2 linked regions of the Lonchura striata genome follow. The protein of the gene in region 2 interacts with the protein of the main gene of each other region in a biochemical or structural test. Links are inferred from orthologs where the notes say so. Each region holds a gene or a part of one and is shown on either strand. Other genes may lie near its edges.

What was found.
Region 1: the proteins of MATK (region 2) and tyrosine-protein phosphatase non-receptor type substrate 1 form a complex in vitro, tested with the Homo sapiens proteins (3 studies listed by BioGRID, with this or other methods). The link is inferred for Lonchura striata from reciprocal best matches to the Homo sapiens genes MATK and SIRPA.

What each region holds. Positions count from the first base shown.
Region 1 is NC_134619.1:7,298,410-7,306,070, forward strand, and holds the start of tyrosine-protein phosphatase non-receptor type substrate 1, read right to left. Parts: upstream 3,293-7,661; 5' UTR 3,180-3,292; coding exon 3,107-3,179; intron 1-3,106. UniProt on the Homo sapiens protein: Immunoglobulin-like cell surface receptor for CD47. Acts as docking protein and induces translocation of PTPN6, PTPN11 and other binding partners from the cytosol to the plasma membrane.
Region 2 is NC_134630.1:1,926,871-1,934,624, forward strand, and holds the start of MATK (megakaryocyte-associated tyrosine-protein kinase), read left to right. Parts: upstream 1-4,497; 5' UTR 4,498-4,649; intron 4,650-4,761; 5' UTR 4,762-4,790; coding exon 4,791-4,823; intron 4,824-7,754.

The DNA of each region.
Region 1 (7,661 bases), on a different chromosome or scaffold from region 2:
TCCTGCCTGCATCCATCAGCCCACACCACACCCAACCTGACCCCTTCCTGCTCAGAATGACCCCAGCTCCCTGCAGCAGCTCACAGCAATGCCCCCCCTCCCCAAAGGGAAAACACAAAGGGGAAGTCGGCAGAAAACCCCAGAACACACAAGTTAGAAAATGCAAAGTTTCCACCAAAGCTTCTTTCCTCTTTCTCCCTGAACACAGCTTCTCACACACAGCTTATATGTCTCCTTCCCCTTTTGAGGCACCCAGCCAGTGGGAGCAAAAGCCCAGCCAAGCTTCTTCCCAGCAGCTCACGACATGCTTGTGCACCAGGAGTGAGATGCTGGGGGTCTTCAAATCACAAAAACATGGAACACCACAATTTCTCACTGTTTCCCTGCTTCTCCCCTACTGCCTGATGACACCTTTTTTCTTCGACTTGGATTTCAAGCCACCTGGAATTGGAACACGATCCTCTTGCCCCCAAGATCATGGGGCATTTAGGTGCTCTGACCCTGTAATCTGTTCTATCCTACACTCCAGAATTAGCCAAGGGTTTTAGAGCCCTGGAAAGCATCACCTGACAGTTCCCATGTAGGTGGGAGCACCCTCGCAGTGCAGACCCAGAGCACTTCCAGCCTTGAGCAGAGGCAGGAGCACGATCTAGCAGAGCCTGCCTCCTTCCCGTTATTCAGTTTAATTTGGGAGCAAAATAATCCCAGCTCTTGCTGCAGTGCAAGTTTTCCATGTTGGTGACACATTTTTTTCTATATTCCACCTTTTGAAGTATTTGATATTGAACAGATTGCAAGAGGCCGGGGTTTAATTCAGGAGAGGCTGCTTGGATGCTTCCCGGTAAAAATAGATTTTTTTTTCCTCTGAAGGAGCTGGGTGAGGAGCTCCGGGATGGCTGTGTGCTCCAGAAACGACGTGCAGCTGGTCACCGGCATCCGAAGCCCCACAGTCACTCACTGAAGGAGCAAGCCAATGGGCAAGGGAACCCCAAAATAATCCTGCTGGAATTTCACCTGCAGCAGGGCTGCCAGGGGCGGAAACTAACAGGTGCTGCCTATAAAAGGCCTGGAATCTGCTGTTCAGGGAAGGCAAGGAAAGCCCTGGGGAGCTGCTGAGCCCTGAGCAGACCCCAGGGCGCCCAGGGAGGGCTGTAGTAAAGGCTGTGTTTTACATCCCTGACATCAGAGGAAGCCTCGGCTCACACGCAGCCACCATTTCCAAGCTCCCCTCCTCCAGCATCAGCAAAAATTCATCCCAAGAGCCAGAGCCCCAGCAGGAAACTGAATTCCCCTTTGGAAGAGGCTCTGTGAAGCACGGCTGAAACCCTCTGTGGGGACAGACCAGCATGGAAGGGCTCCGCAGGGCACAGTTTCTCAACGGGGCTTTGCTGTTTGGGTTCCCACATCTCTGCTGCCTTTGCCCCACAGGAAGGTCTCCTCCAGGACCTTTCCTTTTCCCCTTCACTTCTGCAGAAGCTGTCGGAACAGCCGGCAGTGGGAGCCTGGGCCAACTCTGCTGGAGTTCAGCTTAGTTTGAGCCACGGCCCAGGAGGGACTCGCCATATGGAAAAAAAAGACGTGCACGTTTGCACCTAAAATCAGGGATGCAAACCACTTCAAAACCCCAGGGTGGTTTTTTCCCATGGCTGGCTCAAAGAAATGGGGTTGTTACTCTAAGACCACATTTAATTAAGTTCGGGAGGCTTGCTGGAGCTATTCTTTCACGCAGGAAATCGCAGCGGCTCACTGGGAAGCCGCACTCGCCGCCAAAGTCTTCTTGGCTCTCAGCAGCCAGAGTTTTCAGTTTGGGGCCAACACTTCTCAGTTGTGATCAGGCAACTCAAAGCAAGGAGCGTTGTGTTGAAAGCATTTGCTTTCTACCCAAGTTTTCATCCAACTCTTTGCCCAAGCAAAGCTTTGATGGTAACTATTTCAATGGGCTTGGGAGAATGCGGGTTTCCCTCGTGGAACCTGGGCTGGGCTGTTCGTAGTGGGATCTGGCTGGAAGGGATGGGGTTGGAACTGAGCAAAAAGCTCAGCAGCGAGATGCTCCTGAAGATGCATCACTATTGCTGCAGGTTTGCCTCAAAAAACCCGTTCCTCCCTTGGCAGGGAGAGCGATTCCTTCGAAATCACCCAAAACGAAACACCCTAGAAAGGAAACATCCTTGAAAGCAGCAGTCACCACAGGGCTTTGTTCCTGGTGGGATGAGAGACCTCGCGCTGCCGGCAAGGGAAACAGCCAAGAGTGGCACACTTTGCTCCTTTGCTGCATGCCCCAGCTTTTATAAGGAACTGGTGGAGCCATGAGCCCGTGGGAGGTCTGGGGCACCCTGAGCCTCAGGTGACACAGGATGACATGGGACAGAGTGCCCAGAGGTGTTGCAATTCCACCACTTCAGTGCCCAACAGTCAAGCAGAGAAAGAGCCCACAGCGGGGTGAAGCAGGAGGGCAGCAAGAAAAACAAGTTCCTGCCATAGAAGACAAGACAGCCCTCACCAGAGCCTCTCCATGCCTTCTCCACTACCATCTCCAAGTGGGAATTCGGGCTGTTTGCGGAGTTTTGCCTCACCCATAGCTGGCAGGGGGTGCTCGCAAATGGGTGGGAACAACATGCCTCTTCATGCCCCTGCCTCGCTGGGAAAGGGCATGTCTGCCTGCCTTGAAGTTTGGGTTGAGAAGCGCCGGGCACGGGCCCCGCGGGAGCCCCTGGGCCACCGCCGCTCTCGAGGTCACCGCAGGAAAGGTCAAAGCGACCGAGCGCGGAGAGGCGGCGTCATGTCGGTACCGGAGGTGTGCGGACAGGATCGGGGGAAAACGGGGGACAGGGCAGGGAGACAAGGGGGGGACAGGGCAGAGGAGAGGAGCAGAACGGGAAAAGGGGGAAAACAAGGCAGAGCAGGGAGAGGAGCTGTGTGGGAGGGAAAGGTGGAAAACAGGACAGAGGAGGCAGGAGCAGGATGGAAAGAAGGGGGAAAACAGGGCAGAGAAGACGAGCAGCCTGAGAAAGGGGAGGACAGGGCAGAGCAGGGAAGCAGGGCGGGAGGGAAAGGGGGGAACAGGGCAGGGAAAGGAGCAGGAATGCAGGCAGAAGCCATGGCTTACCGGGCAGGGCGAGCAGCAGCAGGCAGGGCAATGCCCAGGCGGTGCGGCCGGGATCCCGGGGATGCGGCTCCATCGGTGCGGGGAGCGGAGCCCGCGGCTTCACAGCGCGGCCCCGCGCCCGGCTCGGCGGCTGGGTTTGATAAATAAGACAAATTAAAAAAAAAAAAAAAAAAAAAAAAAAAAAAAAAAAAAAAAAAGGCAAAAAGCGCAGAACTGCAGCTGGCGAAGGAAATCGCTGTTCTCAGCCCCAAAATGAGGAAGGAGGCCGGGCTCCCCCCTTTCTCCCCCCGCGGCGGGCGGGCAGCGCACACGCACGCAGCGGCACGGACCCGCGGCCCCGCCGCCGCCCGTGGGCACCGGAGCGGGCTCGGGGCCGTGACGGGGCCGCCGCGGCGGGGCCCCGGGCGGGCGCGTGCCCCGGTGCCGCGCGGAGCCGCCTCCCCCCGGCCGCCGCGCCGCCTCCGTTGCCGTGGCACCGGGGAGGGACGGAGCCGGCCCCAGCTTCGAGACCCCCTCCGGCTCCCAGCAGCCCCGGTGCAGCGCCGCTTCCCCCCGCGGCGGGGGCGAAGCCAGCCCCGCCCGCCCCGGGGCAGAGTCCTCCGGTCAAGCCGGTGTGCGGCTGCCTTAAGGTGGGCTGGGAGGGGACCCCCGGGACCGGCCGCCAGCAGCCCCGGGATGCCCGGTGGGCCCGGGGGGAGGGAGGCGGCTCCACGGCCCCAGGGATGGGGGCCGGGGATCCCCCGCTCTCCACGCGCTGCCGGGGTAGCCGCCGCTTGGGCACGGCCGCGATACACAGCGCCGCATCCCCGAGCTGGGATCGGGGTGCAGGAGCACACAGCCTTCGGTCCCGAACACCCAGGGGCCACCTGGGGCTGAGCCAGGACAGCTCAGGCACAAACAGCACACGGCTTTGGGGCTCCCAAGTGCCCAGGGACCTCCCAAGGGACCACGCAGGGCCGAGCTGTGAGCCCGTGGCAGAGGCACGGGTGGTATTTTGCAGGTCAGCTTGGCCGACGGGGCTCAGGGCCAGGAGGGGACGTTGGTGCAGCACAGACAGGCAGAGGATGGATGGGGAGGGAGAGGGAATTCCTGCACGGCGCTCTGGGACGGTGGGGACATGCCCGTGATGTCCCCTCAGCGGGGAGAAGCGAGAGCCTGAGGACAAGGCAGCTCTGATGGTAGGCAGGGCTGAGGAAGGGGGTGTCAGCATCCATGCGATTCATGTCCCCGCACCGCTCTGCTTGTCCCCGCCACAAAGTCCTTCCCAGGGGATTCACAAGGACACATTCTCCACTGCCTGCACCTGTCACAGCTTCTCACACCACCCAGGTGTGGGGACTTCAGCCACGCCAGGTGCAATGCTGGCAGCTCCCTAGCACCACCCCACTGTCCCCTCTGCCCTCCCAGGGATGGGGTAGGCACTGCAGAGCAGGAGCTCCCAGCCCACCCAGCATCACCTGCAGCATCCCTGGCAGCACAGATCGCACCAAGCACTCCCCCACACCGGGCTGGGTCCCTGAGGACAGCGCTGGGTGCCATACTGGAGGACCCACTGCCAGCTCCCCCCTCCTCCCCTCCCCAGGCAGCCGCCAGGGCTGTCGGTTTTATTTAGAGCCTCGCACAAACACAGCCGAGATATCTGAAGTGACTTGGCACCGTCAATCTGCGCACGGCATCCGCCTGCGCATCCCCGGCCCCGCCAGCCTCCCCCTCAGCCCCAGCTACGCCCATGGGGCACATCCTGCCTTAATTTAGCACTGCTGGAACCAGGAACAGCTCCCCAGGCTTCTGCACTCACCTCCCTCTGCAATCCCCTGGCAGCTGGAGGCTGCACTCGAGGGTTGTGGCCAGTACTGCTCCCACTGGGAAAACTTTTGTGGCCAGCAGCACTGGCCTTGGAAAGCCCAATACAGCCATCATTTCCCTTCACAGAGCTGGCCAGAGCGGCCAACAAGGAGCAGGGGTCCAGAGGAGCCCTTGGATTTGGCCTTTTGCAAATAGCAATAATTTTTTTTGCATAGGGATGGGGACACATCACTACAAGAGCCCACAGGCACCTCACAAGAGGAAGCAAAGGTGTTGAGCTCTGGTCTCTGATGACCAGTGATAAGACTTGAGGGAACTGCATGAAGCTCTGTCAGAGAACTTTGAGGTTGGTATTAGAAAAAGGTTCTTCTACCAGAGATGTTTGGGTACTGGAACAGGCTCCCCAGGGCACTGGTCACAGCCCCAAGCCTGCCAGAGCTCAAAAAACATTTGGACAATGCTCTTGGACACAAGGTGGGATTCTTGGAGTGTCCTGTGCCAGGACACCCCATTGGACTCGATGATCTTTATGGGTCACTTTCAGCTCTGGATATTCCATGGGATTAGGAGTGGTTTGTGGAACCCTGCAGCTTCACCCCTGTGGGCAGTGCATCCTACCCAGCCCTAGTCCAGAAGCAGGGACCCTCAGGGCAAGTGGGTGCCCAGCATGAGGGCAAATACCAGGGACACACTGCAGCCATTCACAACCACCTTTCCTGGTTATTTTTACACGGAAGCACAGATCCTGGAGGCCTGGTTGGCTTCAGCCTGTCTGGGATGTTCTGCTCAGCGTGGAAGGTTCAGACAACCTGTTCTGAGGCGATTACAGAGCAGAGCCAGCCCGCAACACAAGCAGCAGCCACCGCAGAGTGCTCGGGAAGGGAACTCGGAGCTTAAAAAAGCTCTGCAGGAGAAGGTACCGCGCAGAGCAGATGGTGCGGCGCGAGCTCCCCGGGAAGAGCTGCTATTGCTCCCCATTAGGAAGCATATGGGCAGGCTCAGCTGCCTCCCCTCCTACCCATGGCCCTTCCACTCCGCATCACGGGCCCTGCTCCAAGGCTGGGAGGATTCACCCTGGCAGGGCAGCCCTTGCCCTGCACTGGGCAGGGAGCCAGGGTGCGTTTGGCTCTTTGTACGCCTGAGACAGAGGGACTCCCAAAATTTTGGGAGTGCAACTCTGCCATCAGCATCATCATCCTTCTGTACAGAACACCCACAGTGAGCAGGAGGCTGCAGCACTGCTTGGCAGGGCAGGCAGCACTGCCAGGCTCTCTGTGCTGCCAGCGGGCACCCAGGCTGCTCTTGCTCTGCAGCATCTCCATGCTTCAGCTCAAAACCCCTGCTCTGGCAGGCAGGATTCCAGAGTCCCCAGTGGATTCCAGAGCTCTGCTTTCCCTGGCCCCAGGAGCTGGGCAGCAGCCAGCATGGGGACAGGGTAGCATTTCAGAGGAGCTTTTCAAGAGTAAGTTGATTTTCACAGCTTTGAGGCACAGTGAGGAACTCGCTTCACGCTGCTAGCATCTGTTTGGGGTAGGTACGGGCTCTGTGTGGCAGGGCTGGGCCAGGCTCAGCCACTCCCAGAGGTTTGAGTGCTGGGCAGGCAGGGATCTGCTCCCCTTCCCTATTCCCAGCCAGAACCACAGACTCGATGTCCTTTTTGCATTCCCTTGCTCCCAGCTGGCAGCTCTGCAGGATCTGCTCTCTCCCCAGGAGGAGGTGGGCACCCATCCACACACAGGGACCCTCAGCCAGGGCAAGAGCACCTCATCTCTTGTCAGAGCCTGGCAGCATCCAAAAGGAACAATCACAGCCTTGCCAGAGTGATCCCAGTGGAAAGTCCTGCAGCACTGGTTTTGCCCAGACTGTTCTTTCATGCCTTAATCAGCTGCATGTCTGATCTGCTCCCAGCCCCCGGGAACAGCGGGGCTCCCTCGGCTGGAGGGGATTCACAGGGGACGGAGGTGGGAGAGGTTCCAGTCCCTGCCCTGCAGGGCCAAACCTGGGCCTGTTAATGAATCACATTTCACTGATGGAGGTGACTGCAGTCTTTCTCTGCCGGGGACTTTGTCCCTCATGATCCCTGCTCCAGCAATGGGACGGTGCAGTGGGAGAAGTACCAACAGCCTGAGTGGCCACATCACACCTGGACACAGCAGCTGGCCCAAAATGCTCAGTCCACCCTTCACAACCCAAACCAGCTCAGGGATACAGGAAAAAAACCACTAATACTCTGGACGCCAGCCTGGAAAATACCCCAGATTTGGCATCCAGAGGTGCTGTTTTGGGGCTGTGGGCACAGAGCCATGCCCAAGCACCAGCGAGCAGCCAGCACTTATGGGAGCCCTCCACAATAATGACTCAATGATCTTAGAGGTCTTTTCCAACCTCAAAGATTCCTCGATAATCCAAAAAACACAGTGTCACGGAACTCACCACCCTGGGGAAACTCAGAGCCACCCCAGCCCAGTCCCAGCCACCAACTCCTCCCAGCCCAGCCCCCCAAAAGGTGCTACTTTCACACCTCACCACAAGAAAACACCCTGCAGGGCCATATCAGAGCACAGGCCCACACAAGGGCTGTTCTGGCACAAGCCAGTGCAGCCTCCAGACAGACAGAGAGCAGCATGTTCCCCTATCCATCCTCCAGCTTCAAAAAACAAATTCCAAGACCCCTCCAGCCTAAAATCCACATGGACACATCCTACAGCCTCCCCTCACCCCCACCTCTCAGGCTTCAGTCAGCACCCAA
Region 2 (7,754 bases):
CCTGCAGGATGCAAGGCACGTCAATGTGGGCTCTGTGGTATCTGCTGGTGGCTCGCAGGAGCAGGTGCGAGCGTATCCGGAGCCTTGGGAGGTGGGACACGTTTGTGGGGCTATGAGCACCACAGAGCTTGTTCATGTTTTAGAAGGGTGTACATCAAGGATAAGCTCTTTCAGAAATATTTCTGAAATAAAAACTATGGTAGAAGTATATGCTTTGAGTCAATTCACAGCAGTAAATGAGCTCTTGGGACAACCTAGTGTGATCTGTCTTGTTTAGCTTTGCCAAAAGTTCTTAGCTTAAAGGTGCCATCTAATGCTATGAAACCAAACCATTTCCCAAAGGCTTTCTATCACATTTTTCTCAAAAGTTAGACTGATGTTACAGTTAACAGGGAAATAAAGTTAACACTTCAGAAAAACCCAGTAACTTAAGTAGAGCACAATCAAACCTCAAGTGTTATTTCTTAAAATATTCTTCAAAATTATTTTGCAATTGGTTTTGACTGATCAAGTTGATGTCTCTAAAAACCTTTTGCTCCAAGTGTTCATTCGTCTTTCGACATTGTACCTCATGTCTTCTCTGAGTTATGGCTTTGAAAATGTCTGAGCACAAGAATTGTCAGATTTTTCATATGGCACTGGAAGAAGATCATGCACATGATCACAATGTGGTCATTCAGAGTTGTCTTTACTGGAGTTTTTCCCAATGTCTACTTCTGTCCCAGAGTACTTACAGCAGGGTGCCAGTACTTACTCCTCACTCTTAGAGAGGCTGTGACAGGTCTGTTTGTCTGTGGGACCAGCTGAGCATCTGAAGTTACTCAGCAGTAACTGTTCTTTGCTGAGGCTGCTAATGTGGCATGAACAGAAGTTTAGGAGCAGCTGATCCAGAGAACTGCACAGAGGAAGGGATGCTAAGAGTGGAAAAAGTGGTGTGAGCCATAACCTATTCAGAAATATTCTGCAACATTGAAAGCATCTGATGTATAGCATCATGGAGACATTCATGTCCACTAGCGATAAAAAGCTTAAAATCTGTCAGGCCTAACTACACTTTGTAGTTAATAAAACCATAATCAAAGAAAAAATTACAATTAAATTTGTATTTGCAATGCACGAAGATTCTAAGAGAGTCTTGAATTGCCTTTTATTTTGAAAGATTTCTTACCATTGGAAAAATTTGGAATCATGGAAATGCTTTAGGTTGGAAGGGATTCCACACCCCTGGGCAGGAACAACTTTCACTGTCCCAGGCTGCTCCAAGCCCTGTCCAGCCTGGCCTTGGGCACTGCCAGGGACCCAGGGTGGGCACCCTGTGCCAGGGCCTGCCCACCCTGCCAGGGAACAATTCCTGCCCAATCTCCCATCCAGCCCTGCCCTCTGGCACTGGGAGCCATTCCCTGTGTCCTGTCCCTCCAGGCCTTGTCCCCAGTCCCTCTCCATCTCTCCTGGAGCCCCTTCAGGCCCTGCCAGGGGCTCTGAGCTCTCCCTGGAGCTTCTCCTCTCCAGGGGAGCACCCCCAGCTCTCCCAGCCTGGCTCCATGGCAGAGGGGCTCCAGCCCTTGCAGCATCTCCGTGGCTCCTCTGGCCTGGCTCCAGCAGCTCCACGTCCTCCTGCTGCTGTTCCCCAGGCTGGGGCAGCTCTGCAGGTGGGGTCTCACCTGAGCGGGGCAGAGGGGCAGAATCCCCCCTCCCCTGCTGCCCACGCTGGGCTCAGCCCAGCCCAGGGGGGCTCTGGGGTCAGTGCCCATGGCCGGGGCAGGCTGAGCCTCTCACCCACCAGCACCCCAACCCTCCCCAGGGCTGCTCCTCATCCATTCTCTGGGTTTGTGCCTGGGGTTGCCCTGACCCTGGTGCAGGAGTTGTGCTTGGCCTTGGGTGAACTTTGTGAGATGGGTTCGAACCCACCTCTCCAGCCCATCTGTGCCAGGTGTGCCTTTTGAGCATCACCTGCTGCACACTGGGGAGGCTGAGTGCCAGCCAGGTGTGCTCAAGCAGAAGCTTTTACTTAACAAAGCAAAGCTTTTAGCAAAGGCATTGCTTCAATGTTGGGTTACAGGTGTAAATGTAATAAATTTAATCCACCACAGCCAGCTGCTCTAATAATTGCTCTAATGAGAAGGAATAGAAAAAATTGGGGAAGATTTCATAGAAACAAACGGCTGTCAATAGTATGAAGGATTTTTAACTTAAATGCTATTAGGGATGTCTTCCTAAACAGCTAAGAATTGAATTACTAAGTCAGTTTTCTTCATTCACAAACTACTAAAAATAGAGAAAAGAAGCAGCAAACTTGTGAAAAGAAGGTGACAAAACTGAAGCAGACTACAACTGTCTTTGAAAGTGTACCTTGAGGTCTGCTGAGTGTACACCCTGTTTGACATGACTGAGTAGGAGAGGTTGACACTTTCCTTGTGGGACAAATTGCTGTGTGAGGCTTTTGATTTCAGATATATTCATCACGATTTTTAACTTTTTTACAACATTATTTTTCAACAATGCTTGATCAAGCTGTTGAATTTATGCCATGCTGGTTTATTTTGTGCATAATCGCCTTACTCAGATTTTTCAAATACACATTTATGGGCTTTCATGTAGGGTTTTGTATTAGTCAGGCTTTTTTTTTGTTTGTTTTTCTGTGTGCCAATACTGTTTTCAATGCTGGGACAGATGATGACACATTTAGATTATTTGCATTTTGTGAATTCCTGAAAATGTTACTTATGAAATCATACATTAAGATTCAAAATCTAAATTAAATCTTCATTTCCAGTGAGATCAGGTTTTGTTCTTCCCATTCTTAGTATAAGCAGGGCCAGATAAAAAAAAAAAAAAAACAAATATAAGTATTATTTATGCATGGAAAATGCCCATGATAACACAGGCAGTGATTGATTAGCACCAGGAAAGGGAGATATTTTTCAAGAGAGCATACCTGAGTGTACAACGGACTCAAAAAAATCTGCTATAAGAAATGCTTTGTTAAATGACTGCTACTTCCCATAACCTTTAAAATTAAGACATTTCCATCGTGTTGACAAACCCTGTCAATGTATGTGAATGAATTGTGGTCTGGTTCAATTTCTCTGTGGGGTTTTCAGCTGGCTCTTTCTAGAGCCCTTTGCAGATTCAATGGATGTTGCATTTCCTTCCTGTCTTGAATTGCAGTGTAAGGTGGCTGGGAGCTTTTAAAGTCACTGTTACTCAATAGGGTGGCAACATTATATTAAGGAATAAGTATGTATACCTTGAGAAAATACATCCTGGTGAGAAATTCCTGCTGTCACTGTCATGGTTAGTTATCCTGAAGGATGTGCTTTGTGTCTCAGATTTGAAATGGTGAAAGTTAAAATATCCAACTTCCTTGTAAGTTCTGAGTCCAGCTGCAATGGGTTTGTGTTTAGTATTCAGACAGTAGTGCCAGAATCCTACACTCAGATAAAAGATGTGACAGGAGGTGGGGAAAAAACTTCTCCTCTTGCACTTGGCCATCAAACTGCAGCAGGTGAATGATAAGAAAATGCCAGGAAAGAACAGAAATATCCATGGAGACCCCAAAGACTCCATCTCAGTGACAGAAGTGATATATTCAGCTCTGGGTGTGCATTTGAGGTAGAATTCTTGTATGATTACTGCAGTTAAGAAGATTACCAGGCAGCTGTAAAATCCTGCATGCACTCAGTTGTCTGAGAACATTAACATTTTTAGAAAAGAGCTCTGAAATCAGCTCTTCATTCTCCTGACATTCATCCCAAGGAAGTTCTGCCACCAAGGTCAAGTCCAAGAGTTGATTTGTTGGGGGTGTGTGCATTTTGGTGATAAAAGAGAAAATAAAATTTCTTACTTGGCTATTTGTGTAATTTCCCACAAAGATGGATACATCCCTGTAGTTTGATGACCTGTGACAAAGCAGTCTAGTAATTAATTTCAAAATGCTTCAAACCCCAAGGCAGAGTCCCAAGAATGGAAAAATGTCCAGAGAAGTAGCAAGGTTTCGTTAAAGGGAAAGCATGTTTGTCTGCTTTTTAACTTCTAACGTGTCACTTTAATCCACTCCAGAGACAATGGGACTTTTTGTAAACAAGGGTTTAAAAGAAGGATTCAGGGAGACCTCAGAGCCCCTTCCAGTGCCTAAAGGGGCTCCAGGAGAGCTGGAGAGGAAGCTTAGGCAAGGGCATGGAGGGACAGGACACAGGGAATGGCTCCCAGTGCCAGAGGGCAGGGCTGGATGGGAGATTGGGCAGGAATTGTTCCCTGGCAGGGTGGGCAGGCCCTGGCACAGGGTGCCCAGAGCAGCTGTGGCTGCCCCTGGATCCCTGGCAGTGCCCAAGGCCAGGCTGGACAGGGCTGGGAGCAGCCTGGGACAGTGGGAGGTGTCCCTGCCCATGGGTGTGGAATAAGATGAGGTTTAAGATCCCTTCCAACCCAAACCTTTCTGGGATTCTGTGGTTCTGTGGATTTTTCAGAACTGTATTTCCAGCCCCAGGCACTCCCACTTGACTTCTACAACGCTCATGTTGCTTTTCGGAACACTCAGAGTTGTTATTTATAGAAAAGCTTTTAAGGGAAGTCTCAGATGCTGTAACTGTGGGCTCATTCCAGAGAATCTAAAGCTCAGTTGATCAGCTTCTCACATTTCCTTACTTCAGGTAAAGCAAGATTTCAGAATTATTTAAATAGTTTTTAAGCATGTTTTTAATTCTTTGCCTGCTGATGTTTGCTGTTAAAAACCTGACTGCAATATATTCATTTTTGTGATAGGTTTCCTTTCTCATCTCTAGCATTGACAGATGAACCTGGACTGCAAGATCCCTGTTAGGAAGGTAAGTTGGATGCTTTAGAGACTGTAAGGTGCCAGGAAGTTTTCTTTACTGTAGAAGAAGAAATTCTTCTCTGTGAGGGTGGGCAGGCCCTGGCATAGGCTGCCCAGAGCAGCTGTGGCTGCCTCTGGATCCCTGGCAGTGTCCAAAGCCAGGCTGGACAGGGCTTGGAGACAGTGGAAGGTGTCCCTGGCATGGCAGGGGTGAAATGGGACGGGTTTTAAGGTCCTTCCCAACCCAAACTGTTCTGGGATTCAGTGACTCTGTAATGAGATGATGCATTTCATTGATGCAGGTAGAGAAGTGCAGTTAATACCAGTTTGCTGAATGTCCCTGACAGTGGGATACTATGGATTCTCACTGCAACTGAGAGATGTGGACTACATTTAATTTATTCTTATTCTTCTATCATTAGTAACACTAGAAATTGTGTTGCTCAGATTTAAGTGAAGGGATTCATCAAAGTGAGAGGAGCATAGAACCACAGAAAATCCAGAGCTGGAAGGGACCCACAGGTCCATCCATGCAGCCCCTGTCCCTGCCCAGACCCCCCAACAGCCCCACCCTGAGCAGCCCTGAGAGCGCTGTCCAAACGCTCCTGCAGCTCTGGCAGCCTCGGGGCCGGGACCATTCCCTGGGGAGCCTGGGCAGTGCCAGCACCCTCGGGGGGAAGAACCTTTCCCTGAGCTCCATGCCAAGGCCTGACAGGAGGGTCCTGGTTAATTTGGCTCTCCACACTGACAGTGAGAGGTTGGGCTGTCCCACCAAAGGAGAGTGCTCCTGTCTATAAATGAAATGCTACACGTGCTCAGTGTTTCTATGTGCCACTGACTCCTCTGTCCCATTTTTTATTGCCTATGCGAAAAACCACAGAATTTATTGCAGCACATAAAATTGTACAGTGCATGACTCAAGCCCTCTCCCATCCTGTTTGCTCAGTTCTTCTTGGTTTGATATGCACTAGGAAAGGTCATTTAAATGTAATTACTTTTTTTCATAAACAGTTGCAATTCTCTTGACTGTGCAATGAGAGCATTGGCTTTCTTGATCAATATCAAATAAGCAAATATTAAAAATTGCTCATGTTAAATATGATGAAAGGGAATCTAGTTTGAGATTAAATTAAAATTGCAGTAGCCGGTCTTGCCTGAAACCTCTGTGACTCAGGGCAGAAATTTGATGAAGAAGGCTTCAGCTTGGACACCAGATTCATGGTTTCGTATTTTCAAAGGCACTGGCTACTGTAGCTTTAGGTGAGGTTTTGCAATATAAGCTTAATTTCTGTGTATGGTGTAGTGGTGGTGATGAACTTCTAAATAACTTAAAATTCCATCTTCCATAGTGTGTGGGAAGAACTGCAGATTTCTCTGTATTTCCTCCATATAGTGGCCTTCATTTCAGTTGGGTTGTTACCATTTTATCTCCTTTTTCCCCTGGCAAAAAAATGATGACTTTGAGGGAAAAAAAACCCATAATCATAGCACTTGAAATCCTGAAAGAATACATTTGATGCACACAGTGAAAAGAGAGACAGGTAAAAAAGCAGAGGGTGAAGGAGGTGGAAAAAATTACAAAAAAGAAATGCTGCATAGTAATCATATTGCATGTATGAAATAATGCTCATATTATTGCAATTTTTGCCTGTAATAAGTCCTGGGTTCGTCTGATAGCTTGTGTTTTAAATAGACAATTGCAGGTAGTTTTGTTGCACTATAATTCTCCAAAATTGTGTAATCCCTGATGGGACAGTGGAGCCAGGTGGGGTCAGTCTCTTTGCCAGGTAACAAATGACAGAACAAGAGGAAACAGCCTCAAATTGCAGCAGGAGAGGTCTGGGTTGGATATAGAGGAAAACTTCATGGAAATGGTGGTCAGGCACTGGCACAGGTGCCCAAGGCAGTGATGGAGTCATCATGCCTGAAGTGTTGAAATGTGTGGCTGTGGCACTTGGGGACATGGTTTAGTGGTGAACATGGAGGTGGTGCTGGGCTGACAGTTGGACTTGATGATCCTGGAGGTCTTTTCCCACCTTAATGATTCTGTGATTCCATAACCATTACAGAAATTGCACCGTTGTGTAAGAGTTGAGTTGCCTGTAGCAACAGTTCCTTTCCTTCTGTTATGTTTCCTTCCTCCCACTCCTTGCTCTAGAAGAAACTCTTCCCACAGTAAAACATGTAGAACGATATAATAAAGAGAAATAAATCCCACACACACTCTGGTATCATGTGTATCCTTTAAACATTTTGTCACTTTAGATTTCTGGCCTCTGGCCTGAGGTGCCTGAAGCTGCCAGGTTTTGTTGTATGGGTTTGGGGTTATCCCCCACCCTTTGGAGCAGGGATCCTGGGGGCTGTTTGTACAGCGAGGTGCAGACATGGAGACACTTCCTTCTCAGTGGTTTGGAACAAAGCTGACTGAGCTGTAACACAGCTTTGGTGCTGTCACAGTGGTACCTGGAAAAAGAGTGCAATGCAGAGAACCAGATCTGGGCACTTGGGTTGTTGGACATGACACCAGCAGACAGCAAGAGAATTGCCACAGGCTTCAGCTTCATGTATTTGTTGAAGGCTGGGAGAGCTGGGGGTGCTCCCCTGGAGAGGAGAAGCTCCAGGGAGAGCTCAGAGCCCCTGGCAGGGCCTGAAGGGGCTCCAGGAGAGCTGGAGAGGGACTGGGGACAAGGCCTGGAGGGACAGGACACAGGGAATGGCTCCCACTGCCAGAGGGATTCAATGGGATACTGGGCAGGAATTGTTCCCTGGCAGGGTGGGCAGGCCCTGGCACAGGGTGCCCAGAGCAGCTGTGGCTGCTCCATCCCTGGAAGTGTTCCAGGCCAGGTTGTGCAGGGCTGGGAGCAGCCTGGGACGGTGGAAGGTGTCCCTGCCCTTGGCAGGGGTTTAGAAAGGGATGTTAGTCAAGGTCACTTCCAACACC